4 linked regions of the Lonchura striata genome follow. The main gene of each other region encodes a partner of the protein of the gene in region 2 in a complex. Links are inferred from orthologs where the notes say so. Each region holds a gene or a part of one and is shown on either strand. Other genes may lie near its edges.

Evidence for each region. Proteins that work in one complex are often made in the same cells at the same time.
Region 1: TMEM17 (region 2) and TMEM216 share a complex: the UniProt entries of both Homo sapiens proteins name them as parts of the tectonic-like complex. The link is inferred for Lonchura striata from reciprocal best matches to the Homo sapiens genes TMEM17 and TMEM216.
Region 3: TMEM17 (region 2) and AHI1 share a complex: the UniProt entries of both Homo sapiens proteins name them as parts of the tectonic-like complex. The link is inferred for Lonchura striata from reciprocal best matches to the Homo sapiens genes TMEM17 and AHI1.
Region 4: TMEM17 (region 2) and B9D2 share a complex: the UniProt entries of both Homo sapiens proteins name them as parts of the tectonic-like complex. The link is inferred for Lonchura striata from reciprocal best matches to the Homo sapiens genes TMEM17 and B9D2.

What each region holds. Positions count from the first base shown.
Region 1 is NC_134608.1:53,696,349-53,702,558, forward strand, and holds TMEM216 (transmembrane protein 216), read right to left. Parts: upstream 2,331-6,210; coding exon 2,204-2,330; intron 1,903-2,203; exon of another isoform or gene 1,853-1,902; coding exon of another isoform or gene 1,840-1,852; intron 1,647-1,839; coding exon 1,545-1,646; intron 1,463-1,544; coding exon 1,370-1,462; intron 1,170-1,369; coding exon 968-1,169; intron 879-967; coding exon 863-878; 3' UTR 507-862; downstream 1-506. Other genes in the region: TMEM138 (transmembrane protein 138), read right to left, coding at 2,522-2,634, 2,717-2,792, 3,536-3,707, 3,780-3,907; lysosomal membrane ascorbate-dependent ferrireductase CYB561A3, read left to right, coding at 4,964-5,004, 5,824-6,029, 6,094-6,210. UniProt on the Homo sapiens protein: Part of the tectonic-like complex which is required for tissue-specific ciliogenesis and may regulate ciliary membrane composition.
Region 2 is NC_134620.1:1,591,247-1,598,192, forward strand, and holds TMEM17 (transmembrane protein 17), read left to right. Parts: upstream 1-4,669; coding exon 4,670-4,787; intron 4,788-5,025; coding exon 5,026-5,201; intron 5,202-5,583; coding exon 5,584-5,697; intron 5,698-6,074; coding exon 6,075-6,356; 3' UTR 6,357-6,425; downstream 6,426-6,946. UniProt on the Homo sapiens protein: Transmembrane component of the tectonic-like complex, a complex localized at the transition zone of primary cilia and acting as a barrier that prevents diffusion of transmembrane proteins between the cilia and plasma membranes.
Region 3 is NC_134605.1:58,104,327-58,111,164, reverse strand, and holds the start of AHI1 (jouberin), read right to left. Parts: upstream 3,007-6,838; 5' UTR 2,939-3,006; intron 2,435-2,938; exon of another isoform or gene 958-2,434; intron 538-957; 5' UTR 502-537; intron 1-501. UniProt on the Homo sapiens protein: Involved in vesicle trafficking and required for ciliogenesis, formation of primary non-motile cilium, and recruitment of RAB8A to the basal body of primary cilium.
Region 4 is NC_134633.1:4,806,573-4,813,877, forward strand, and holds the start of B9D2 (B9 domain-containing protein 2), read right to left. Parts: upstream 3,007-7,305; 5' UTR 2,986-3,006; intron 2,730-2,985; 5' UTR 2,727-2,729; coding exon 2,639-2,726; intron 546-2,638; coding exon 420-545; intron 1-419. Other genes in the region: zinc finger protein neuro-d4, read right to left, coding at 4,658-4,728, 7,009-7,090. UniProt on the Homo sapiens protein: Component of the tectonic-like complex, a complex localized at the transition zone of primary cilia and acting as a barrier that prevents diffusion of transmembrane proteins between the cilia and plasma membranes.

The DNA of each region.
Region 1 (6,210 bases), on a different chromosome or scaffold from region 2:
TGGAATCACACTCGGATGAGAAAACCCAGGCCCTGGAAGTCTTTTTAAGTTGAAATAACCCAAATCCAGGAGAAACCACCCCGATTTTCCCAAGCCCCACGAGGTGGGAGCACTCGGCGGGAGAGCTCCGGGTTTTTTTTTACTTACCGCCACAGATTTTTAGTTTCTTTCCAAATAGTGGAGAGGGGGGAAAAGATTCCCCCCCAAATTGCAGAGCAAATCCCTGGAAGCCCCGGCGAGGCGCCGCCCCTCCTGCTCGCAGTGATTAGATTTGTCTTTGGATAGGTTGGAATTGTGTAATAAACTCAGATGACGTTGTCAGTCTTTTATACAGTGCTCCTGTTGCCTTCCTACGGTGGGATTTGGGATAATGAGAGAATGGGAGGGATTTGGGGAGGTCTGTGCACCCGTTGTCCCTCACCCTCTTCCTCCTCCAATGGGCTCCTGTGCTTCCCAAACTGGCTCTGAGGTGCTGGAAGCACCTGAACATTCCCAGGCAACGAGTAAAAATAAATATTTATTGGAAAATAGTGAATTATTCTGGAAGGTCGTAGAAAAAAAAAAGGATTCTTCATACCTTGAGCTGGCTCAAGCTCTGAGGAGTCCAAGTGGAGTGGAGAGTGGGAAAGGTGGGAAGGATAGGCCCAGGGGAGAGTGAGTGAAGTGGGAAGTGGGAAGAGGGAGGAATGAATCCATGTGGCAGCAGGTCCCTGGTGAAGTGGGAAGTAGGAAAAATGGGAGGGATGTGTCCAGGAGGCACCAGATGAAATGGTCAGTGGGAAGGGTGGGATCATCCCCATTCCCGGGGCTGGGAAGTGGAGCTGGCACGGGTGATGCTTCCCTGTGTCCCTGGGCCGTGTCCTCAGTAGGGATCCATGCTGTGGAAAAGACAGAGACAGGGATGTGTGGGTCCCAAACCAACCTGGCAGCTGCTGCGCCAGCTCCCCCAGTTCCCAGCATGCGGCACCTGGAGAAGGAGAGCAGTGCCAGGAAGCCCAGAAGCAGCTCCAGGCCGTAGAAGAGGAGCAGGATGGCGCTCAGGAACGCTTCCAGGCGCAGGGAATATGTCTGGAGCAGCAGGTAGTACACAGCCAGCACAGCCGCCGGCACTGTAAGCGCCAGGCTGAGGGACAGCGGCACCTTCCGCTGGCACAGGTTCCCCTTGGAGCCTGTGGAACACAGAGCTGGGATCAGAACATGGGAGGGTTTTGGGTGGGGAATTAAATGTCCCGTTCCCGTGGGCAGGAACACCTTCATCTAGCCCAGGCTGCTGCATGCCCCATTCCAACCTGAACCTCCAGGGATGTCTTCGGGGGTGTCCCAGGACCCTGCACTCCCTGTGGAGCCTCTGGCATTCAGGGGCACTCACCGAAGAAGATGCGTGTGGCCTCAATGCCGAGGTAGAGGAGGAGCAGCACCACGTCCAGCACCAAGTTGTAGACGGGATAGGGCAGGAGCAGCACTGCCGGAAAAGCACCGCCCTCAGCATCGCATTCCTGCCCACCCCGGCGGGATGGGGAACAGCTCTGGAGCGAAGCACTCACCTTTGTACACGAACACGAACGCTTCCAGGAGAAAATACGTGGCGCAGTACCAGCCGTTGAGGAAGAGCAGGACCTGCAGCGGAGCCGAGGAGCGATGGCGGCCTGAGGGGACACGGGGCGGCCGTGAGGGGGGGGGGGAGAGCACGGGGCGGGCAGGGCAGCGCGGCCCCCGGAGCCCTGCAGCGCCTTGCCCGCCCCCTTAGCCCATTCCCAGCGCTGCTCCCAGCCCGAGCTCCTCCCGGTAGCCCCCGCTGCCCTCCGGTAGCTCCCGTTTCCCCCCCGGTCCCGCTCCCACCCCTGGGCGCCATCTTCCATCTCCATGGGGACGGCCGCCGCCGCGCTCGCCCGCGCGGGGGCGCTGCGGGCGGGGCCGCGGGGCGGGCGCGCGGGGCGGCGGGGCGGGCGCGCGGGGCCGCGGGGCGGGCGCGCGGGGCGGGCGCGCGGGGCGGCGGGGCGGGCGCGCGGGGCGGGCGCGCGGGGCCGCGGGGCGGGCGCGCGGGGCGGCGGGGCGGGCGCGCGCGGCCGCTCGGTCCCCGCCGCTCCCGGCGGTGCGCGCGCCGCTCCCGCCGCACCGCTCCGTGGGCGGAGCGCCGCGCGGGTTCGCGTCCCCTCCCTCCTAAACCCGCCCGCTCGTATCCGCTGGGAGAAGAATCCCACACCGGAACACGGGAACGGCCCCGTTCGAACTCCGCCCGCCAAGCGCAGCGCCGAGCCGGGTTTCAATGAAAGGAGTGCAGCCGTGACACCGGGTGGGCGCACACACCCGGGAGCCTCCGGAAACCACATCCGATTTATTCCTTTAGGGTTTCCATTAACATTCCAGTGCCAACCAAGGCTGTGGCACGCACGGACGCCCCACAAGCGTCCCGCTGACTTCCAGAATCCCAAGGACTGCTCCCTAGAGAAAGGATGAGCCAGAAGTGACCCCGGCAGAGCCTGTGGAGTGCAAGGAGACTCCAGGGGATCCTGGGGATCCATCAGCCACGGAAGTGGGCAAATTCCTTGCGGAGCCAGAGTGAATCCTGGTAGAAGAGGGGGTCTCCCAGGTGCACAGCTGTCCGCTTGTAGAAGTAGCAGTAAAGCACGGCCGCTGCAGGGAATTTCAGGATGAGAGAGGGCCCCCAGCATCCCCAAAGGATGTGGGATCCCACCCTGATCCCTGGAGTCCTTACCCAGCCTCTGGAAAACGAACAGGGTCTGAAGGCCTTCAGTCCAGATGAAGCGGCTGGAGTCACGCCAGCGCAGGTTCTGAGGGGGTTGGAAAACTGGGAATAACCCCTGGAGCAGTTTTGTTGAGCCCTCCCAGACCCCTCACCCCATTCCAAAGGTTCTGAGCGGGATGGAGGGACATCAAGCTAGGAGTAACACCTGGAGAAGTTTGGGAATCCCCCTACTCTAAGGTTAAGCAGCTCAGGGGATTTAGGCATTGAGCCCGGACCTATTCCGGCTTCAGACTGCAGATCCCTGCAAATCCCTGCAAATCCCTTTCCTGGACGGCGTGGGCAGCGCTGGAGCAGCTGCTGTGGCTCCTGACCCCTCACAACATTCCCTGTGCTCCGGGGCAGCAGGATGGAGGGAACTTCAGGAAGTGTCCAGGGGATGGGAACTGCTCCGTTGGGAAGGAGCTAGGAAGGAGTTTATTCAGGAAAGAAAAGGGGAAGGTGCTGCCAGGACAGAGCCAGGAGCTGCAGGAAGGGAGTGGGCTGCCCCCAGGTATAGGGACTGATCCCAGAAAAACCAGGAGCTGCTAGCACAGGCTTTCTCTGGGGAAAGAGGATTTTCTGATGGGTCACAGCCCTTAGGGAATGAGCTGGGATGGGGCTGGGATTGGGCAGGACACTTCCAGCCTGATGCCAACCACAGTGTCATGGAATGGGACATCTTCCATGGGGCACCTTCCAGGGGGAGACCATGAGAAAGGACTGTGGGAAGCTGGGGGTCATGGAAAAATCCCTTGGGAGAATCCAGCAGCTGTGCCCACGCCACCCTACCATAATCCAGATGTGGAAGGAGATGCTGAGTGCCAGGTAGGCTGCAGAGAGCAGGATGGTTCCCTTGAATTTATGGAAGAGGAGGTTGACCAATCCCGCCTGGAAAACGTAGGTGTTGAAGAACATGAGGAAGATGATGATGACGTTGAAGACGATGGCGATGTCCTGGATGCTGCCGGGAGAACAGAGGGACCGTGGGCTCCTGGGCCTCCTGGATCTGCCGCCCCGCCTTGCCCGTACTCACATGAAGAGGACGAGCTGCACGGCCGGAGCTGTGCGCAGCAGCTCCGAGAAGGAATTCACAAAGAGGTCGTAGGAAAGCAGCAGGAACTGCAGGAACAGCACCAGGCTGTAGTTGCTGGGCTGGAGCATCCTCCTTCCTGGGGCTTGGAGCCCTCAGCCCCAGCATTCCCAACGGATCATGGCGCTGAGGGGGCTCAGCAGGGCCTCTCCCGACGTCCCAAACCTGGAGGGGGAAGACGGGGATTGGGATGGATGCCATAAATCAGGGAAACCCAATGAGCTGTGTCCTCTCTCTCCTCTGGTGTCTTCCTTCCCCTTGAAATCCACCCCCATCCCCATGTGAGGAAATCCAGGGATGAGGGAGACGTGCAGTCCCAAGAAGCAGTGTCCAAGCAGGTTATTTCTGGCTGTTCTCAGCTCCATGGGCAGTTCTGAGCAGGTTTGGGCATGTTCCACTCTGGGCACAGGGAGAGGAGTGAGGAGAGACAGACGGGAAGTTTTGGACACCTGAGCAGGTACGGTCCTTGTGGGACACATATCCCACAGGGGGAACAGCCCCCTCAGGGATCATCCTGGCTGAAGAGGGACGGAGGGGACAGGGATCCCCCGTGTCCTGGCAGGAAAAGGGCTGTGCTGGGAGCTGAATTCCCTGAGGGGGAGACATGGTGACAGACGGGGGTGAAGGGGCTGGAAAGGGAGGAAAGTGGTTGGAAATGCGGGGAAAGAAGGCTGGACATGGGAGCGAGAAACTGATGGACACGAGGGGGGAAAGAGTTGGATATGGGGATTAAGAAATCACTCTCTGCCCCTCCAGATCCGCGTCACTCCGCCCCTCCTCACAGCCACCACCGCGGATCCCCCGCGCCCCCTCTCGCCGCCCTCTCCCCCCGTTCGTGGCCCCCTCCCCTCTCCGGGGTCCACCCCCCGACACGCCCAAAGCCCTCTGGGTGCGGAGGTCCCGGTGCCGGGGGTGCCGCCGGGTCCCCGCCGTGCCCCCGCCCCGGGCGCTCACCCGCCGCCGCCATCTTGGTCCCCATGGAAACGGCCGCCAGAGCCGGAAGTGGAGCCGGAAGTGGCGGCTGGAGGCCCCGCGGGGCCGCTCTGGCCGCCGCGCCTCTCTGTGGCGCCGCATTGGGGCGGGCGGGGAAACCATAGAGATGAGCGGGCAGAGCGGCGCCCGCCAAGATGGCGGCGCCCAGTGAGGAGGAGGGGGCGGTGGGGCGCAGGTACAGCCCCGGGGCTGGGAGCGCTGGTGGGCGGCTCCGGGGCTGGAGGGGCTGAGGGACCTCGTGGTCTGGGCTTTGGGTGGTGTCAGGGCCGGGCGTTTTGGTCCAGGTCCAGGTTTGGGCGGGGCTGTGGAGCCACGTGTTCCCAGATTTCGGGGAGCCGTGGCACCGAGTGTGCCAGATTTGGGAAATCCGTGAGTCTTTGTGTCCCGGAGATATCACAGATTTTGGGGAACCATAGGGCCGTGTGTCTCCACCCCTTTCCTGCCTCTATGTCCTGTGAGGCAGCTGATTTGAGGGTGTCGGGACAGCCCCGGTCCCCAGAGGGGACAGAAATAGCCAATTCTGGGGGCACATGCAAATCGCATAGAAATGAGAGCGATGGGGTTCCTGCCAAGGGGACCATGACAGCTGACACCAGGAGCTCCTCACTGCCATTCCCGGGGTGCTGTGCCCTGCTCTGCATGTCCTGTTCCATCCCTGGCCTCCTTCCCAGTCCAGGGCACAGCTGGACTGTGATCACCCCCTCAGGGTTCCCAGTTCCCCTTTCCACGGTTTCTCCTGGTGATGTTGGAGAGCCCCAAAAGGCACCTCAATCATCCCCAGGCGCCACCATCCTGGATCCATCCCTGCCACCATAACCAGGCTGGGAAGCTGCTGGGCCACCATCCGTGGCTGGGAGGCAGCTCCATCGCCGTCACCTTCCCCAGGCTGTCAAACAGCTGTCCCCCACACCCTTCGGGACTCCCAGTTCCCCTTTCCGTGGCTCCTCCCTGGGACCGCATCCGGAGCCTGAGCCGGCTCCTCACTCGCCCACAGGTGCCACCAGCGCTCCGCGGCCATGCTGGACGTGCCCTTCTTGCCCTTCTGTGCCTTCCTGGGAACGCTGGGATTGCTCTGCGTGGCCATGGTGGGCTCCTGGTGCCAGCACTGGCGCGGGGGCTTTTCCCTGGACGGCAGCTCCCGGACATTCAACTGGCACCCCGTGCTGATGGTGACGGGATTGGTGGTGCTCTACGGCGCAGGTGAGCAAAGGGAGCGCGGGGATCCCGCCACAGCTCCTTCCTGACCTTGTTCTCCCCCTCACAGCTGCCCTGGTTTACCGCATTCCCTACACATGGAGTGGCCCCAAGCTTCCCTGGAAGGTGCTGCACGGCAGCTTGGCTTTGGGGGCGTTCATCCTGACCGTGCTGGGGCTGTCGGCCG
Region 2 (6,946 bases):
TGGTTGGTGGGATGGCCATCAAGTACTGGACTAGCACCAAGGCACACCAAGAGCATTTGCCTCTGCACGTTGAGAAACCCCTTACAGCACTGTGTATTTTTTCTCTTTTAGAACTGGAGACATGTCCTGGCTAACAGGGAAAGGCACCTAAAGCCACGGATGGCTGAGCTGTCCTGATGCTGCACTCACCATGGGGAGATGGGACAGCAGCTCCATGGCCCAGTGGGAACCCCATGGTTCAGCCATTTCCTTTTGAGACCTTTATGAACCTGGCATTGTGCACTGACCTTCCCAAGAGGATCTCACACAGCTCCTCTGCCCCTGTGCCTGCTGGGCTGGGCTGGGGCTCTGCTGTTGCAATTGCTGTGGAATGCTGGAAAAGCAGCCTACAGAGGTTTGGCACTGGCAGCGGGCATGGGCTCCATATGGCTCTGGATGCTGCCATCGGGCTGAGGGTCTGCCCCACGCATGCCCCTCCCTCCAGAAGCCCATAAGCAGTACGAGTGCCTTTGGTTGCTCCTGTGCTTTCATGCATGATGCTCCTTTCCAAACTCTTTTTGCTCCCAGCAGAGCTGCAATGCACATCCCTGCGAAGCCTGACAGCCACTCCCTTCCTGCATGGCTGCAGCACTTGTCACAGCTCTCCCTGTGCCCACCCACCCCAGGGGGCATTTGGGCAGGCCAGATTACACTGGGTGATTTCTGTGCAGCTGGTGCTTTTGTTGTCCAGGCTGGTCCTGTGCAGCCCCACCAGCAGAAGTGGGTCCCTGTCCATGCTGAGGGCTCTGGAGCTCATCAGTCCCCCTCCCAGCATCTCCTGTCCTGGAGCAGCCAAGGGCTTGGGATTCGTTCCCTGTCTCTTGGGGCCCCGTTTGGGCTGGGGCACTGGCAGCTCTTCGCCCATTCCCGGAGTGCATAGCAGGGGTACCTGAGAGCTGTGATGGCTCAGTTGCAGCCCTGGACTGGGTGGCCACCCTTCCAGTCAGACTTGGGTTATCTCTCCTTAATGCTCTCGTGGGATCAGTGCTGTTGCTGAGGTGTTATTAGAGGAAAAGTAGCTGGGGGGGGGTGGTATTTCTGGCTGTCCATTCTCTGGCAGTGACAAAGCTGCATTTCCCAGCCCACCACGCTAGTGCTCTGCTGTCCTGTTTCTGGCCCCATGCTGAAGAAGAGCCATATCTCCAGCTCAGGAGTGAACCTGGCCAGCCACAGCCCAGTGTCCATCAGCCCAGCAGAGTGGGGATTGAGGGTCCCCCTTGGAGAGACTCCAGTGCTCTGTTCTGGGGGTGACTCTTTCCCCAGCAGTGTTTTACCCTGAGTCCCAAACAAGAGGATTTATATTTTTAATTTGATTCACCCCCTACAAATTAAAGCAATACTATTCTTGAGGTCTGGGTCATGTTTGATTTCTTCCAAGACCTTGGGTTTTCATGTTGGCCAGATTGTTCAAGAACCTATTCTCTGGAGACTTCCCACCTGTGTCCAGCTCACCTGTATTTCCAGTATTTCAGATCTTGGCTGGGTAGAAATGCACCAGTGTCTATCATATCTTTGGTTGGTCTCTCCTGGTTTCACTGCAAAGCTTTTCCCAGGCGGAATGACCAGGAGGGATGGTAGCAGGATGTGCACACTCCAGCACACATCCTGTGATGAACAGGGATCATTGTGTGTCTGCTGGATCCACAAAACAATGGGAACTTGCAAGTCTCATTTCAGGTTCCAAAAGACAAATATCAGTGTTCCTGTCCACAGATCCTCCTCTGAGGGCAGGGGTGGCTGGGGCTGCTCAGCTCCTGGTGCCCCAGGCAGGGTTCTTACAGAGTGGCCTAGGGCCATGGGCACTGCCCAGGTGGAGGCAGCTGCCCGGGTGTTGCCTCACCTCTGCCCACTGCTCACAAAGATCTGGCTTTATATCCCGTGTCCTGCTGGTGGGATAGTTGGACTCAGCTTTGGCAGCTCACCAGGGGACCCAGCTGGAGTGCCAGGGGACTCTGGGACACCAGAGGGTGGCATTCCCTGCAGGTGTGTTTTCCCCAAGCTCTCTGTCATATTCTTCATGCTGGGTGAGACTGGCAGCTCTCCCAGCACAGCTTTGCTACAATGGGGACACACTGGCAGTGTGCTTTGTTTTTCAGGAAGATGCTTTTTAACCTCCTTTGCCTCTGATGAGGCCTCATTCAGTATTGTGCATGAGCTGCATAGAATGGGCATCACCCCCATGTTCACAGGGCTGAAGACCATTCAGGGGCTGAGGAAGGACCTTCAATCCCAGTCTGCAGCTGCAGTGGGGATAACAAGTCCCATTTCCTGCTTTTTACAGAGGAGTTATTTCAACCAGGGCTGGTAATATCACCCGTGACATGAGAAATCCCAGTCACTACTGTAGCTTTCCTTGGTACATGTCAGGTCACAGGTAGAGCTGGCTCAGATGGTATTGCTTCTCTGCACAGGTGTGGGGTGGTGTTGAACCTGAGACCCTTATCTAGTGCCTTGGCAAATGCTTCCCAGTGGCGAGTCTGTCCTGGAACTGGGCAAGGCTGGGTTGTGTTCTCTGCCACCTTTCAGGCACATCTTGCAACCTCTCACGCCAGGACAGAAAGTTTCCATCTCTTCTTAAGAAACTGCCTGTTCCCATGTGGAATGAGAGCCCAGCTGGGGCACGTGAAGTGACCCCCAGCTGCTCTGCCCCATGTCAGTTACCTCCACCAGACTGCCCAGGTATCATCTTGGTTGCTCACCTTGCCTGCCCATGCAGATTTGGTGCCTCCAGATCCTGAGCTCTCCACGAGCTTCTGCTCCTCAGATTCTGGGCCATGTCTGTCACCCTGCCCATGTCTCACCTGTGTGCTGGCAGGACTTGGGGGACAGATGGGGCTTAGCATCTGCCCCATGCAGGTAAGACCCCATCTGGAAAACTGCATCCAGCTCTAGGGTTTCAGCACAGGAGGGACCTGGAGCTGCTGGAATGAGTCCAGAGGAGGCCACAGAGATCCTCTGAAGACTGGAGCCAGCCTGGAAGAGCTGGCGGTACTCACCTGGAGAGGAGAAGGCTCCAGGGAGAGCTCAGAGCCCCTTGCAGGGCCTAAAGGGGCTCCAGGAGAGCTGGAGAGGGACTGGGGACAAGGGATAGAGGGACAGGACAAGGCAGGTTGGGATGTTGAGAAGAAGATGGGATGTAGTGTAGAAATTCTTCTCTGTGAGGGTGGGCAGGCCCAGGCACAGGGTACCCAGAGCAGCTATGGCTGCTCCTGGCTCCCTGAACATGTCCAAGGCCAGGATGGATGAGGCTTGGAGCACCCTGGGATAGTGGAAGATGTCTGTGCCCATGGCAGGGGGTGGGATGAGATGAGCTTTCAGGTCTCTTCCAACCCAAACCATTCTGTGGTCCTGTAACTTCAGCCAATCAGGTGCTGGTTTAACCATGCTTTCAGCCCCAGATGGTTTGGTTTTGACAGCATATGGCAGTGAGCTCTGCAATTTCATTTTAGCTTTATTCAGGAAAAGAATAATCTCTTTCTTTGGTTTCTTGTGTTCCTTGACAGTTTCTGGCCCTTAAGGACCTCACTTACAGCACTTGCTTTCACTATTTGCAGCTTCTCTGATGCACCTTATGGGGTGAGCTGAAGATCATGAGGTCTGTTGGGTAGACCTAGATCTGTTGGGTAGAACTGACAGAGTGTGTCCAGAGAAGGCAACAGTGCTGGTGAAGGGGCTGGAGCCCCAGGAACAGCTGAAGGAGCTGGGAAGGGGCTCAGCCTGGAGAAAAGGAGGCTCAGGGGGGACCTTGTGGCTCTGCACAGCTCCTGACAGGAGGGGACAGCCGGGGAGTTGGGCTCTGCTCCCAGGGAATGGGGACAGATGGAGAGGGAACAGCTCAGGCTGGGCCAGGGGAGGCTCAGTTTGGATATTAGGGAATATTTCTTCATGGAAAGGTTTGTCCAGCTCTTATACAGGCTTCCCAGGGCAGTGATGGAGCCCTCATCCCTGGAAGTGTTCAAAAAATGTGTAGATGTAACATGGTTTAGGGGTGGCTTTGGCAGTGCTGTGTTAATGATTTGACCTGATGATCTTTGAGGGGTTTTCCCACCTTAATAATTATGTGATTTTCAACTTGAAGTTCCTGAAGAACCTTTCACTCCCAGTCATCTCTGGCTCAGCCACCCGCTAACACATCATCCCCCACTGCCCTCCCCAGCACCCCTGAGCCTGGGTGGGGCTTGAGGAACTCACAGTGATGGGTAAATGCTCCATGAACCTGGAGGCCTTGAAGAAGCATTTCAGGTGAAGAGTACCATCCTCTCATGAGGCATCCTCATCTGTCAGGGGTCTTTGAGCAATATTTGTATTGATAGAGCCTGGCTGAGAGAGGGTGCAGTTGCTTCAAGTCACAGTGACGGGTACAAGCTGCTGTCACCCCCTAAAGATGCTGTTGACAGGAGATGCTCTGTGACTTGTGACTTCCTTGCAACTCCACCATGTGATTCCTGCATGGGCTTGGTGTTCCAAGGTGGGAATTCTCCTTCCTCAGATCCCCGTTCCAGGTCAGCAGCCCTGTCCCCAGGGAGCCAATGGCCATATGGCCCTGCGCATTAGCCTGGCCTGCCACCTCACTGATTCCCTCCTGGCTAATCTGGGCTGAGCCGGGCTGGTGTGAGCAGGATTGCTGTCCATGGCTGTACCCACCCCACTGCCCCCCAGCCTGCGCCGAGGCTTGGTGGCCTTCAGTGGCTCCCTCTTCATCAACAACAAGACGTGGGACAGCAGCACTGCCCACGGCTACCAGCCAGGTATGCGCAGAGGGCTCTGCACAGGGGGGCTTGGGAACAGGGGGTGTCCATCCCCATGACCCTGCACAGGGGGGCTTGGGAACAGGGGGTGTCCATCCCCATGACCCTACTCAGCACATCACCAAAGCACCCAAAGAGTCCCCGAAACCACCCAACAGGGAGGGGAGCAAAATCAAGAACATTTGCTGCAATCAGCTGCTTGTGGGACCCAGGGTCTGTTGCTCACCTCCACTGTGAGGGGGGGGTCCCTCTGGGCAGGGGGACCCCGGGGCTGGTGAGCAGCCTGCCTATTCCTGCCTGTCCTGCCTAGCTCAAAAGGTGCTGTCCAGCCTGCCCCTCCAGGTGATGCTCTACTTCAACGTCTACTACTTCCCAGTCTGGTGCCTGGCTGAGGGAATTATGCTGCACCTGAAGGTACCATCCCATGGGGCACGTGGGGATGGGAGGAGCTGCTCCTGCCAAGTCTCCCTGGGCTTGGGTGGGGGACAAAATGGGCAGCGGACAGAGGAACCTTTTCAGAATTACTGGAGTCCCAAAATGCCCTGACCCCCATGAGAAAAGATTGTTCATTTCTGTCTGCTAGAGATGGAAATCATTAACTTTCCAGGCAAGAATGGTTAAAACAGGGGGGAAGAGTAGGCAGAGCTGTGCACCAGCATGGTGAGATCTGGCAGAGCATGGAAAGCTGGGTATGGGGAGGAGGGCACAAGGCATGGAGAGCAGGGAATGGTGCATAGAAGAAAGGGAAACTGGGCATGGACAGCTAGACTTGAACAAGGCTGTGCTCCCATAACAGTACCACCTGCTGCCTTGGCACTATCAGTTCCTGCTGGTCACAGCCTTCCTTATCCTCTCGCTGGCTGAGGGCTCCCGCCTCTACTTGGGCTACCTGGGGAACCTCCAGGAGAAGGTAAGCACTGCCTGCCCTGGCCTCTGTGCTCAGAGAGGATCAGCCCAGCTGGGGGAGCTGGATTTCTCCTCACTTATGAGCCATGTGTCCATCACTGTCCTTTCTCTGGAGGTCTACCTGGAACTGTCCTAGAAGAGAATCATGGGTGAAGGCATGACCTGGAGAGAGGAATGAAAGGGACCCATTTGCCCTCCTGCTGTGTCTCTCCACTGGGGGGGTTTGACAGCATCTCACCACAACTCAATGGAGCAGGGACATCCCTAGTCCCTGGGCACCAAGGCCAGCAGAGGCTGATGCAGGAAGCTCCAGGAGCACAGAGGGTCCCCCCAGCCCACCACTGCCTTCTTGCCCTGTCTCAGCAGCCTCTGGTCTTGCAGGTGCCTGAGCTGGCTGGGTTCCTGCTCCTCTCCTTCCTGATCCAGCTGCCCCTCCTGCTCTTCCTGCTGATGGACAGGCAGGTCATCCACCTACCGCTGGAGGTGCCCATGCACAGCTTGTTCCTGACCTTCCTCCTCCCCGAGATCGTGGCTGCCTTCCTGGCACTGAGGACCATGACCAAGCATCTGGCGGCACAGTTCTACCTGCGGCAGTTCCAGGAGGGTGCGAGGGGCCAGCTGGAGCCAGAGGGCACAGGGGGACAGGCAGCCAAGATGGGATGATGCTGCATGACCCCTCCACCCCACACAGCTGATCCTGGCAAGGAGCATTAAACAGTGCTTGAACCCACAGACATTGTTTCTGAGCTTTGTGGAGACTCCAGAACAGCACCCAGGCACAGCCCAGCTGATCCCAGCCTTGCACCAGCTAACACAGCCTAGGAAAAGTGGAAGTGAGCGGTTAGCACCTCTAAAACATTCCAGCTCACCCCACAGCTGTGCCTGTCCTTGCTCAGCATCAGCCCTGGCAGGAGGCAGGAATCAGGGTGCAGGAGCCACTGCATACCCCTAGGAAGTACCAGCCCAGGGCTGGAACTTTAAACTTGGCTCCTAAACCCTCCTTGAGTTTCCCAGAGAGCTTCTGAGAATCCAGGTGGTTCACACAAAGCCATCCCAGCTGGAAGCATGCAGGGTGCCACGAGGTGCAAGAGCAGCACTCCACAACCTTATAGTTCCTCCATGGCTAGAGACAGAGCAAAACCTCCTCCCACTTCCAGAACAGCTTTATTCCATTGCATCCCTGTTTTTCAAGGGAAATCAAAGCCCGTGATTACTGGAACATGGAGAAATGCAAAATGCTTTAAGCCTCTTGT
Region 3 (6,838 bases), on a different chromosome or scaffold from region 2:
TTGAAAAACAAAACTGCTTTTGCAATTTATACCTGGTTAAATTTAATGGCCATTTCAAAAGTACTACAGTTACTAAGTGCTGCTTTCCAAATAGTCAATTCACAATTGGCTAGAAAGCACATAATTTAGAAGAGCAGAAAACTAAATAAATTTAAAAAATACAACAGATTCTATCACTTTAATCACTGACTAAAGACCACAGAAACATGGAAAAGTATCTTATAATTAGCTGAATAATTTCAACAAGCCCTCTAAAACTAATTAGAAATAAGAAATTAAATACTGAAGGGCTCTTAAAGCAAAAAATATGAGACAATATAGTACACAAAAGCAAAATGGAATAAGTGCATATCTAGTCTAAGTACTATTCTATTCTAGAATAGTACTATTCTATTTAAGTAGTCTAAGTAATAAGTTTCTGGTCAAAGGTTAAATAACCCATAGGTTGGTTAAAATACTAGTCTTACATATTTTTTTATTATAATGGAACAAACATCTTACCAAAGGCTAGGGTCGCCTCATGTTTACAAGCATGCCCTGTAAAATGAAGAATTATCAAAATTCACCAATGAATGCATAACTGTTTGTTTACTTAATCAGTGTCTACCCTGTTGTGGCAATAAAACTAAGCGATAAAGTCCTCTCATGACAGTGCTATTGTTTAATAGGCATTTCCAATTTAGTGCTTCATAGTCTTTGACATGCTTCTTTAAAGCAACTATCAGGCTTGTGTAAATATAGATCATTAATCAACAAGGATAAGAACAAGGCTGTTTACTTAGTGTAATCTCACCTTAGGAGAGATTTAATTGTATATCAAAGTTCAGCAACCACTGTGCCCCAGTCTGAGTAAGCTCAGCCATCATTAATTTTGTAAAATGCATTTTTGCCTGATCAAATTGGATCTTTTCCATGTTAGTAAATATAAGACAATCCAAGACTGACAAAAACACATACCTGGAAAGTGACATTCCAGCCAGCATGACAAAATAGCAAAACAAATTCATAAAGTCTAAACTTACAATTACTATACTTTCCTGAAAATAACCTAGCTTGTTCTTCTCCAATATTCTATTTATAAAGTGATTCTACATTAACCTCTTGCTCTTTTCACAGTATTTTACAATATTCATTGAGTTGCTATACTCTACATCTGTAATACAGGGATTTTATGCTAAACATGCCACGATAGTCACCATACACAAAACCCACTTTTACTGACCACTAATAAAAGATATAAATCAAACTCACATTACTATGAGCAGCACATACAGAATTTGCACTAAACAATGGGAAGTGAAAAAATTTCCTACCCAATTATAACTATTTAGTAAACTGAGCTGACAAAATATAATTGCACACTTAGGATTTTCCTGAACTAAATTCCTTGTTTTTCTTTTGTCGCAGTAAGTGAGCATAAACTTCAGTGTCTGTAAACAAGTAGAACATCAGGTCTTGTTTATTTCTCATCTTTTATATCACAGAGGGAAATCTTGGGTTTTACTAGTAGGCATCTAATTAAGCAACATGCAGTGACCATTACTCCTGAGATGTGAAAGAACTTCAGCTCAGAATTATACAGCAAAATTACAGAGATGAATGTGTTCCTGCTCACTATTGAAAAAATCTGACATCAAAAACCAATCTAGTTTTATTAATGAAAATTCAGTGTTTAAGTCCAGAAAACCAACAGACGAAATAAACACCTATGTAAAACCTAGTAAAAGTGCAGTAGTTTTCTACCAGTTTAGATGTGCCTGTAAAAACCTTATACTAATAAGAAAAGATGTTTTAAAAAGCTGGTGCAGCCCTCAGTTTTTTAATAGTAACATACCAGAAAGTTTTTGCTTCGTAGGAACTGTTAGGTTGCGGTTTTTACCCCAGAAATTTGGCACCTTCGGTGCAGAGAAAGTTGCAAATAGACTCTGATGGCAAAATTACTGACTTCAGTTCTATGTAAGGAAATACAGACGACTTTTATTGTTTGCTAACTTTCTGCTTTATCTTAGATGCTAATTATTAAAAACTGTTCTTAACAAGAGACCGCATTAAGTATTTGAATTTCCAATGTGACATTCTGCTTTGCCTGAAAGAAGATTTAAAAGATATAAAGGGACTTTCCGGCCCCACACCACAACTGGACTAACCGACGGAATTATTTAACGAGGATGTGATGCGCATCCAGATGCGCGCCCCGCATGCGAGGGAGGCATCCCCGCCTCGGAGCCGGGTGTCAGGCATGGAGAAGCACTGTGTATGTTCACTGCAGCTGCCCACGGACGTCACCCCAGTGAACCACAGAGCCCGGGAAAGGCGGGGGTGGGGTGGCGGAGGCGAAAGAACACCCATCCGGGCTTAGGGCATCCCGCGGCACTGCCCGTGCCTCCGCGCCGGGAGCGGACAGCGACAGCACTGAGGCGGCTCTAGGCCGCCGGTGCCGCCCGGCGACAGCGGCACTGCGGGGCCGCTCCGGGCACGCTCGCCGGCTGCGCCAGCCGCTCCCGCTCCCTCCCGCAGCGCGCCCGCGCACCCGGCCCGCGCTGGCCGCCGCCCGGCCCGATCCCGCTCCCAGCCCCGATCCCGCTCCCAGCCCGATCCCGCTCCCGCCCCTATCCCGCTCCCAGCCCGATCCCGCTCCCGCCCCTGCTCCCGCTCCCAGCCCAGCCCCGATCCCGATCCCGCCCCTATCCCGCTCCCAGCCCGGCCCCGGCCCAGATCCCGATCCCGCTCCCGCTCCCCGCCCGCGCGCGCCAACGGCCGCGGCCGTGCCCAGCCCCAGGCTGAGCCCCCCGCCCCGGGGCGGGCAGGGGAGCCGGGGGAGGGAGCAGCGGCGGGGAGGCGTTACCCAGCGCTACCCGCCCCCGGGGCCGTGCGCTGCGACGAGCGGCGGGGCCCGGCCCGGGGCGCGGCCCCGCTGCCCGCCGAGGGCAGCACTCACCCGGCCCCGTCCGCTCCCGCCGCGGCCGCGACGTGGCCCGGCGGCGGCCGCCCCGCCTCCCCCTTCCCTCCGCCAGTGCGCTCTTCCTTGGCCCCGCTCCCCCTCCGCAGCGCCGCGCGGGTGGTTCCGCCCAAAACAATCCCGGCTGCCAGGGAAACGGCGCGCTGGGGGCGCGGGGAACGGGGAAAAACAAACCAAACCAAAAACAAACAAACAGCTATGAAAAGCATTAGAAACGGGAGCCCTCGCACGGGTATTTCATCGTCCATTAAAAAAAAAACAAAACTGTCGAAACTACGTATTAGCTCTCGGAGTTCAGACTAACAAAAGTAGCTTGGCGAAGAATAAAGTCCCTGGGTAATGGGCTCTGTTGGGCTCAGGAGGGCGAGTGACAAGCGTTTGGAATGCACATAAGCTTTCTGCAAATAGTAGCACAAATTTATGTCCTCCAGCTATGCAGATACTGGAGAACTTCTGTTTGTTGCCTGATTTAATAGTTGATTTAAGCAGTTCTTTGGGGGATATTTTTCTTCCCTCTCAGGGATAATTACCTAATAAACTTGAGCATTTTTGTCATTGAAAGCCTGTATATTCAATTATTCTGTGTAAAAAATGATTAAAACTATAGATGTCAAAGGTTCCTCCTGCACTGGAAGATTTGAGAAATCAGTGCAAGGTTTTCCATGAACATGGTTAGTTTTTTTTCAGAAGTAAAGTTGAATAAAATTAGCCTTCGTTTGATAGCAATTTTCAGAAACTAGAGGTGAGCAAATGCTTGTGATGCTGAGTTTGTGACATAGTTCCCAAGCATTGCATCCCTCAAATTCTGTCAATGAATTACACTGGCTTCCTAAAGAATGACCTTCTGAAACCTGGCTTGCCTGTTCTTTCCTTATGTGTTGTTATTGACAGTCACTAATGTCTCTTTTTGTACTTACCTGTCCTCTGCTTTCTCAAAAGCTTACGTGCACTCAACTGATAGGTAGGGATATTTCTGGTTTTGTTAGGCAGGTCTCCTGGGTTGCCTTGGCATAACAAACATAAACCAACTCCTCAGCATTCGTGTGCTTCCCTTTATCCTTAGTGAATCTCCATTCTTTATCTCCCTGTCCTTCGTAGTGCCCCAAAGTCCATGAAATAATGGCCTTGAACAACCTGGACTCGCTTTCAGGTTGGCCTTGCATTGAACAAGAGATTGGATCAGAAATCCAGATAGATGTTTCCTTTCTAACTAACTTCCTGGCATCTGAGAGGCTCAGTTGTGGCAAACTCAAAACCAGTCATTTTTAATCATTGACATGGAAAGCGGATTTGATATTGTCTAATTTGACCAGCAGTAATAAAGCTATAAAGCCTTCTAAGTAAGCCTGGCAGGAGACATCCACAGGTTTTCTATTACTACCAAAAGTTTGTGCCAAGTTTCCAGGAGCAGTTGCTTCAAAAGAATGTCTTTAAGATTTCTGTGATCATTACACCTTTGACAAACATGAGGTATTTGTGCCATCTGAGATCTATAAGCAAGTAGTGGTCAAGGCCAGTTTCCGTGCCAGGGGAGAATAAATCTAACCTCTTTAGCTGACTTTTTTAGTTGGGTTTTTGGGGGGTAGAGGCAGATGACAATGCTGCAGTTCTTACTCATAAATAATAGATAGAACAAGTCTATGTTAAATTTGTTCCTTTCATCCTGGACTAGTTAAAAATTACTATTCTGGAGTTAAGAATGTTCCATATAGAAAGCTACTGTAAGCCAAGGATTGACATGCTGATGTAAAGAAGACTTTTTCACCTCATGTTACTTCTTACAATGTCCTATGTCTTACAGTTCTTCTGATGTACTTTGCATAGTGCAAAACATGACCTGCTGATGCTAAGCAGTTCCTGAGGCTGCTGATCACACTTTCATTACAGCTAAAGATGTTGCAATGTGTATTCCTGTGTCAGTGTCACAAATATTTTTTTTCCATTTCCTGACTGTGAAATTTAAAAAAAATATTTGGACTTTGCTCATTATTGCAAAAGCAATGCAAGTCAGGAGCACCTAAAGAATGCAGGGGAACCTGTACAGCCCCTAAAATAACAGGATGAGTTTTGTCTGTACTTCGATGGCCTGTGGAACAGACACCAAAGGAAAGAAAGCATACTCCAAACACAACATATCCTGTTCATAAGCAGAGACAAGTGTGCAATTCCTATGCTGCTAGAAGCAGAAAACCAAGACTTTTGAAAAAAATTGAACATGTGTGCATGGAGTTTTTCAATGGCTTCAAAAGCATGTGTTCCCTGTGTTCACCTGGTATTTCAGTTGCAGGGGCTTGTACAGAGAAAGCTTTCCATTATCTTACATTTGGGATGTGTGGGAAGTAGAAAGGGACACGAACTAAAGTGACATTGTGGGTTACAGGTGAACAGTTTGAAGATACCAGATGCATTCTGAAACTCTCGCAGGAATTCCAGGACGATGAAGAATGGATCAAGGTTCTTGTCAGAGCCCACCTTTCAGCAAAAGGTAAAATCTGTCACATGCAGGGACAGCCTCGAGGTGTCACTCGAGTGTACAAAATGGAAACGATCTGGGGCTGGATAACTCAGAGAATGCTAACTGTGCAGTGATATGTTGGCAGAAGTTAATTGTTTAACTCATCAGTGGGTTATTTTCTCTTGATAGCAAAACATAATAGGGTTTCTGCTATTTGGTATTCTGAGCAAACAATCTAATTTGACATAAGGTGAAGCTTGAGTTGGGACAACAGAAAGAAGAAATTTACATATATTACATTGGTAAAAAAAAAGAAGGGTCAAAACTTTAAAGCCAATAATCAATTTCTTTAATAGAAAACAATTCTGCAATATGTTCTGCATCCTGAGATGATTGCATTTTGCATGCTAAATTTCTAGTGGTTTAAATGCAAGTCATAAGAAATAACTATGCTGGAAAGTTGGTGTGCCTCAATACTGGCAGTAGAAATGCCTGTAGGTGTTTATTTGGCAGTCTAAATTTCTGTGGCTGCTTCTCAGAGATCTGCAAGTCTTTGAACTGAAAAGCTTTCCCTGTTAGTTCTTAGTTCTGTCCTTGACTTGTCTCCTAGTCCTGAAGTGGGTGCCCTTAGTTCATGGGGGCAAGTAAGCAGTCCTTTCTCAGAAAAGAGTTCTCAGAAGAATGTTCTTTATCCTCACTGACTTTGTTGAGCCACATTTACCTTCACAAAGTTCTCTCCAGGGTAGATACAAAACCAATTGTGACCACGGATTTTATTTTGGTTGTGTATTATCAACTTCTTGTGAGTGGCAGTTCTCCCAAAGCTATAATTCTGTAATACAGAAAAGTTTTTTCACAGCCTACTACAGTTTTTATTTATAGGCCCAAAGCAAAAAAAATCTTACATTAAAATTCAGCAAAACATTTAAAGAAACCTGGTTTCTTCTTCCTTTTTTGATCATGTTTTCAGTTTAAGACTTTAAAATGTTTTAAGGAAATCAAGTCTTAGTCATCATATTAGTGCAGAGACTTGAAGCAAGGCTGGAATTATGAAGTGGCACAATCCTAGGGATCTGGTATTAACAGGGAATGTAACACTCCTAAATTTTTAAAAACTAATTTTATTTTCCATTTTAAATTGGCTGAAGTTATTAGGAGTGTCACGTGAACAGTCCCTCATATTTCAATATGTTTAACGTACTAGAATGTCTATTTACTTTGCAACAGGAGGAAAAGAAGGTAACCTCATTTTATTTCACTGACAGAAAACTAGGTTTCAGAAGCCATAGGTTCAAATTGTGTGTCCAGACAATGAGGTCACAAACCCTCGGAAGACAAATTTCATTGTCTTCTCTATGAGTGTTTCTTGAACAGCGTCTCCTGAGGTATAGCTAAGTATCTATTATCTCTATAAATCTCAGTTT
Region 4 (7,305 bases), on a different chromosome or scaffold from region 2:
GGATTGGGGACATTGGGGACACTGGGGGGATTGGGGACATTGGGGAGATTGGGGACACTGGGGACATTGGGGACATGGGGACATTGGGGGGACATGGGGACATTGGGGGGATTGGGGACATCAGGGACACTGGGGGGACACTGGGGACACTGGGGACACACCTGGGGACCCTGACACCACCAGTGTCCTCCCTGAACACCCATGGCCCTGACAGTGTCCCCGATGTCCCCAATGTCCCCAATGTCCCCAATGTCCCCAATCCCCCCAATGTCCCCAATGTCCCCAGTGTCCCCAATGTCCCCAATCCCCCCAGTGCCCCCAATCCCCCCAATGTCCCCAGTGTCCCCAATGTCCCCACTGTCCCCAGTGTCCCCAATGTCCCCCCAGTGTCCCCGATGTCCCCACGGGTGTCCCCGCACCCTGCAGGCCGCGTGTCCCCAGGTGCAGGTCCAGGGGGTGGCTCCACTGGGCGGCGTCGCCCCCCTGGGGGTCGTCGAGCTGGGTCTGCCCCGCGCCCGCCCCGGCCAGCAGCGTCCAGGCGGAGCCTGCGCCCAGAACGGCCCAAAATCAGCCCAAAATGTCCCAAAATCACCCCAAAATCAGCCAGCAGCGTCCAGGCGGAGCCTGCGCCCAGAACGGCCCAAAATCAGCCCAAAATGTCCCAAAATCACCCCAAAATCACCCCAAAATCAGCCAGCAGCGTCCAGGCGGAGCCTGCGCCCAGAACGGCCCAAAATCAGCCCAAAATGTCCCAAAATCAGCCCAAAATCACCCCAAAATCAGCCAGCAGCGTCCAGGCGGAGCCTGCGCCCAGAACGGCCCAAAATCAGCCCAAAATGTCCCAAAATCACCCCAAAATCACCCCAAAATCAGCCAGCAGCGTCCAGGCGGCGCCTGCAGCATGGAGCGGCCCAAAATCAGGGAAAATCACCCCAAAATGTCCCAAAATCACCCCAAAATCAGCCAGCAGCGTCCAGGCGGAGCCTGCAGCACGGAGTGGCCCAAAATTAGGGAAAATGACCCCAAAATATCCCAAAAGCAACCCAAAATGGCCCCAAATCACCCCAAAATCAGCCAGGAGGGTCCAGGTGGCGCCAGTACCCGAAACGGCCCAAAATCAGCCAAAATCACCCCAAAATCAGAGAAAATCACCCCAAAATCAGCCCAAAATTTCCCAAAATCAGCCCAAAATGTCCCAAAATCAGCCCGAAATGTCCCAAAATCACCCTGAAATATCCCAAAATCAGCCTGAAATGTCCCAAAATCAGACTAAATCACCCCAAAATCACCCCAAAAATCACGACAAAATCCCCCCAAAATCACCTAGGATACCCCAAAACCCCCGAAATCCCCCAAAATCATCCCAAATCACCCCAAAATCACCTGGGACACCAAAATCCTCTTAAATAACCTCAAATCACCCTAAAAATTAACCAAAATCACCCCAAAATGATCCCCAAATCACCTAAAATAACCCAAAAATCATCGAAAACCACCAAAAATTCTCCCAAATGGCCCCAAAGCCCCAGGTCCCCCCAAAATCACCCCGGAACCCCCAAATCTCCCCAATATCCCCCCAAAATCTGCCCAGAACTCCTCAAATGTCCCCAAATCTCCCCAAATCCCACCAAAATCCCTCCAAAATCTTCCAAATTCCCCCAGTTCCCCTCAAAATCCCCCCAAATCCCCCAAAATCTCCAAAATCCCAAAAATCCTCTAAAAGATCCCCAAATCTCTCCCCCAAAACCCCTAAAATCCCCCCAAAATTCCTCCCAAATTCCCTAAAATCCCCCAGACCCCCCAAAATCCCCCAAAATCTCCCAAATCCCCCCAAAATCTCCCAAATCCCACCAGAAATCCCCCAAATTCCTCCCAAAATCCCCAAATCTCCTTCAAAAACCCCAAATCTCCTCAAAACCCTCCCCCAAATCCCCCCAAAATCCTCCAAACAAACCCGAATTTCCCACCCAAATCCCCAAAATCCACCCACTACCTCCCAAAATCCCCCAAAATCCCTCCCAAAATCCCCAAATTCCTCCCAAAATCCCCCCAAATCTCCCCAAGACCCCCAAAATCTCCCCCAAACCCTCCCCCAAATCCCCCTAAAATCCCCAAAGTGCCCCCAAAACCCCCCGAAATTCCTCCCAACTCCCCCAAAATCCCCCAAATTCCACCCAAAACCCCCAAATCCGCCCCAAATCCTCCAAAAATCCCCAAATCTCCCCCTAAAATCCCCCCAAAACCTCCCGAAATTCCCCCAAAATCTCCTTCAAAATCCCCCAAACCCCCCAAATCCCCCTAAAATCCCCCCAAAATCTCCTTCAAAATCCCCAAAACCCCCCAAAATCCTCCAAAAATCCCCAAATCTCCCCTCCAAATTCCCAAAACCCACCCCTTACCTCCCGAAATTCCTCCCAAAATCCCCCAAATTCCTCCCAAAATCTCCCCAAATCCCTTCGAAATCCCCCCAAAATCCTCCAAAAAAATCCCCAAATCCCCCTAAAACTCCCCCAAAACTCCCCGAAATTCCTCCCAACTCCCCCAAATCCCTCCCAAAATCCCCCAAATTCCCCCAAATTCCCCAAAATTCCCCAAAAATCCCCAAAATCCCCCCAGACCCCCACCCCGCCGCGCTCACCGGCGTGCAGCCCCCACTTGCAGAAGAGGCGCCGCTCGGAGAAGCCGCAGCCGCTCTCGATCTGCCCGAAGAGGTGCAGCTCCGCCATGGGCTGCGGGACCCGAAACCCGCCGGATTCACCCCAAAAATCCCCCCAAAAAAATCCCAAAAAATCCCAAAAAATCCCCCCCAAAACCGCCCCGTTCTCCCCTCCCGCCATCCCCGCCCGTCCCTCCCTCATCTCCACCCATCCCCTCCGTCCCCCGCCCCAAATTCCCCCCAAAAATCCCCAAAATCGCCACAATTCCCCCCAAAATTCCCCAAAATTTCCACAATTCCCCCCAAAATTCCGCCCGCGCGGCGCTCACCCGCCCCCTGCCCGCGCCGCCACTGCGCATGCGCGGGCGGCGCTGCCGCATTGCGTTGCCACGGTAACGCCGGGCCGGCGCTGATTGGTCAATGCGGGTCAGGCCACGCCCACAAAGAGCGGCGTTATCACTGCGCATGCGTGTGAGGCAGAGTTTGCCGTACGGCCGCCGCCATCTTGGGCGTTACAGAGTAGGGGGACGCCATCTTGAGGGCGGCGCCGCCATCTTGTGTGTACCGCCGCCATCTTGGGGTGCCCCAAAGTGGGGGAAAAAACCAAAATTGGGGGAAAATCCAAAAATTCGGGGGAAATCCAAAAATTGGGAGGAAAAACCCAAAACTGGGGGAAAAACCCAGAAACTGGAGGGGGAAACTGCAAAACTGGAGGGGAGAAACTAGAATTGGGGAAAAAAACAGAAATTTGGGAGAAAACCCCAAAATTGGGGCAAAAACCCCAAAACTGGGGGAAAAACCCCAAAATTGGGGGGAAACCCAGGAATTGGGGTAAGAACTACAAACTTGGGGGGAGGGAAAACCAAAATTGGGGGAAAACCCCAAAACTTTGGGGAAAACCCCAGAAATTGGGGAAAGAAACCAAAAAATTGGGGGGGGAAACAAAAATGGGGGGAAAAGCCTCCAAAATTGGGGGGAAAAAATCAAAATTGGGAGAAAACTCAAAATTGGGGGAAGAAACCCAATACTGGGGGGAAAAATCTAAAATTGGGGATAAATCCCCCAAAATTAGGGGGAAAAAACCCAGAAATTGGGGAGGAAATCCCCAAAACTGAGAAAAACCCAGAAATTGGGGGGAAAACACCAAAATTGGGGAAAAAACACCGAAACTGAGGAAAAACCCCAAATTTCATGTCCCTCCCCTCAATTTTACTTTTCCCTCCAAATTTTGGGATTCCCTCTCCTAGATTTCAACCCCCTCCCCCAAATTCCCGCCCCTCCCCCTCCCCAAATTCCTCCTTCCCCCAAATTCTGCCCCTCCCCCCCAAATTTTTCCTTCCCCTCAAATCCCGCCCCTCCCCCTCCCCAAATTCCTGCCCCAAATTCCCACCCCTCCCCCTCCCCAAATTCTCGCTCCTCTCCCCAAATTCCCTCCCCTCCCCAAATTCCTCCTTTCCCAAATTCCTGCCCCTCCCCCCAAATTCTGCCCCTCCCCCAATTCTGCCCCTGCCCCCCAAAATTTTATTCCCCTTCAAATTCCCGCCCCTCCCCCTCCCCAAATTCCCTCCCCCCCCCCAGACGGGGTCAGAGGTCACGGGGGGGTCACCCCAAATTTACTGCACGGACACCACAGCACAGAACCGACCACGACACCACGGGGGGGGGCCCCCCAAAATTTGGGGAGGGGTTGGGGGGGGGGAGAGACCCCCAACCCCCTCCCCTCCCCCACCCCCCCTCCCGACCCCCCCCAAAAACCCCCCCAAAATCCGCCCGCGGGGGGGGGAGGGGAGGGGGGCGCGGGAGGGGGGGGAGGGACCCCCAAAATTTCCCATCATGCAACACTCGGCGCCCCCCCCCCCCCCCAAAATTTGGGAGCCCCCTCCCCAAAACCTCCCCTCCCCCCCCCCAGCTCGGTTATGGCTTTTGTCGGGTTTTTGGGGGGGGGTCGGGGGTTTTGGGGGTTTTTGGGGGTTTTTGGGGGTTTTTGGGGGGCGGCCCCCCCTAGGGGAGGGTGATGAAGGCCGAGGCCTTTTCCTTCAGCTGCCGCAGGCACAGGTGGCAGCTCCAGCTCCCTGCCCCAAAACGCCGAATTTCAACCCAAAAATGGCCCCGGAACGGCCCCAAATATCCCCCCCAAAATCGGTAAATATTCCCCAAAAATAGCCCAAAAACTCCCCCAAATATCCCCCCAAAATTGGTAAATATTCCCCAAAAATAGCCCCAAAATTCTCCCAAATATCCCCCCGAAATCAGTAAATATTCCCCAAAAATAGCCCAAAAACTCCCCCAAATATCCCCCCGAAATTGGTAAACATCTCCCAAAAATAGCCCCAAAACTCCCCCAAATATCCCCCCGAAATCGGTAAATATTCCCCAAAAATAGCCCAAAAACTCCCCCAAATATCCCCCAAAAATTGGTAAATATTCCCCAAAAATAGCCCCAAAACTCCCCCAAATATCCCCCCGAAATCGGTAAATATTCCCCAAAAATAGCCCAAAAACTCCCCCAAATATCCCCCAAAAATTGGTAAATATTCCCCAAAAATAGCCCCAAAATTCCCCCAAATATCCCCCCGAAATCGGTAAATATTCCCCAAAAGTATCCAAAAAATATCCCAAAAACTCCCCCCGAAATTGGCAAATATCCCTCAAATATCCCCCCAAATTCTCCCCAAAATCCCCAAATCCCCCCAAAAATCCCCCAAAATCCCCCAAATCCCCCCAAAATCCCAAAAAAATCCCCAAAATCCCCCAAATAATGACCCAAAATCTCCCAAATTCCATCCCTAAAATGCCCCAAAACGCCTCCAAACCCTCCCAAAATCCCTCCAAATTTCTCCCAAAATCTCCAAAATTCCCCCAAAATCCCCCCAAAAATCCCCAAAATCTCAAAAAAATCCCCCAAAATCCCTAAAAGACTTCCCAAATCCCCCCAAAAATCCCCTAAAATCCCCAAAATCCCCAAAATCTCCCAAAATCCCCCCAAAATGCCCCTAAATGCCTCCAAGCCCCCCCCAACCCACCCAAATTCTCCCAAATTCTCCCAAATTCTCCCAGATTTCTCCCAAAATTTCTCCAAAATCTGCCCAAAAATCCCCAAACATCCCCCAAATCCCCCAAATTCCCTTAAAATCCCCCAAAATATTCTCCAAAATCCTCCCATAAATCTCCCCAAATTCTCCCCAAAAATTCCCAAATCCCCCCAAATTTTCCCAAAATCTTCTCCAAAATCCCCCCAAAAAACCCTAAATGCCCCAAAATCACCCAAATTCCCCTAAAATCCCCCAAAATCTTCCCCAAAATCTCCCCAAATACTCCCCAAAACCTCCCAAATCCTTCCAAAATTCCCTAAATTCCCTCCAAAAAAAAACCCAAAATCCCTCCAAAACCCCCACAAAACTTCCAAAAAATCCCCCAAAATCTCCAAAATCTCCCAAATCCTTCCAAAATTCCCTAAATTCCCTCCAAAAAAAACCCCCAAAATCCCTCCAAAACCCCCAAAATCTCCCAAATCCTTCCAAAATTCCCCCAAATTCCTCTCAAAAATCTCCCAAAATCCCAAAAAAATCCCCCAAAGAATGACCCAAAATCTCCCAAATTCCCCCCCAAAATCCCTCCAAACCCCCCCAAAATCCTCCCAAATTTCTCCAAAATCCCCCATAAATATTCTCCAAAATCCCAAAATTCCCCAAATCCCCCCCAAAATCCCAACCAAAATAGTCCCCAAAATCCCACCAAAACCCCCGCAAAACCCCAAAAATCCCCCCAAAAATCCCCCAAAAATCCCCCCAAAATCCTCCCAAAATCCTCCCAAAATCCCCAAAATCCCCAAAATCCCCCAAATTCCCTGCAAAACCCCCCAAAATATTCCCCAAAATCCCACCAAAACCCCCTCAAAACCCCAAAAATCCCCCCAAAATCCCCCCAAAATCCTCCCAAAATGCCCCAAAATCCCCAAAATCCCCCAAAATCCCCCAAATTCCCTGCAAAACCCCCCAAAATATTCCCCAAAATCCCTCCAAAACCCCCACGAAACCCCCAAAAATCCCCCAAAATCTTATCCAAAATCTCTCAAAATATTCCCCAAAATCCCCCAAAATCCTCCCAAAATGCCCCAAAATCCCCAAAATGATCCAAAATCCCCCAAATTCCCTCCAAAACCCCCCAAAATATTCCCCAAATTCCCTCCAAAACCCCCACGAAACCCCCACAAATCCCCCCAAAAATGCCCCAAAATCCCTCCAAACCCCCCAAAATCCTCCCAAATTTCTCCCAAAATTTCTCCCAAAATGCCCCAAAATGCTCAAAAATGCCCCAAAATGCCCAAAAAGGCCCAAAACGCCCCAAAGTACCCTCGGGGGGCTCGGCCATGGGCGGGCTCAGGCAGTACATGTGGTAGCCGCGGTCGCAGTCGTCGCAGAACAGCAGCTGCTCCTGGGGCCAAAAAAGGCGATTTTGGGCAAAAGCAAAAAAATGGGGTTTGGGGAAAAAGAACGGATTTGGGGAAAGGACGGGGCCGGGGGAAAGGAATGGATTTTGGGGGGAAAAAAGGGATTTTTGGGGGAAATAAATGGAATTTTTGGGGGGAAATGGAGGGGTTTGGGGTAAAAAGAAAGGGGGTTTTGGGAAAAAAAGAAAGGGATTTTGGG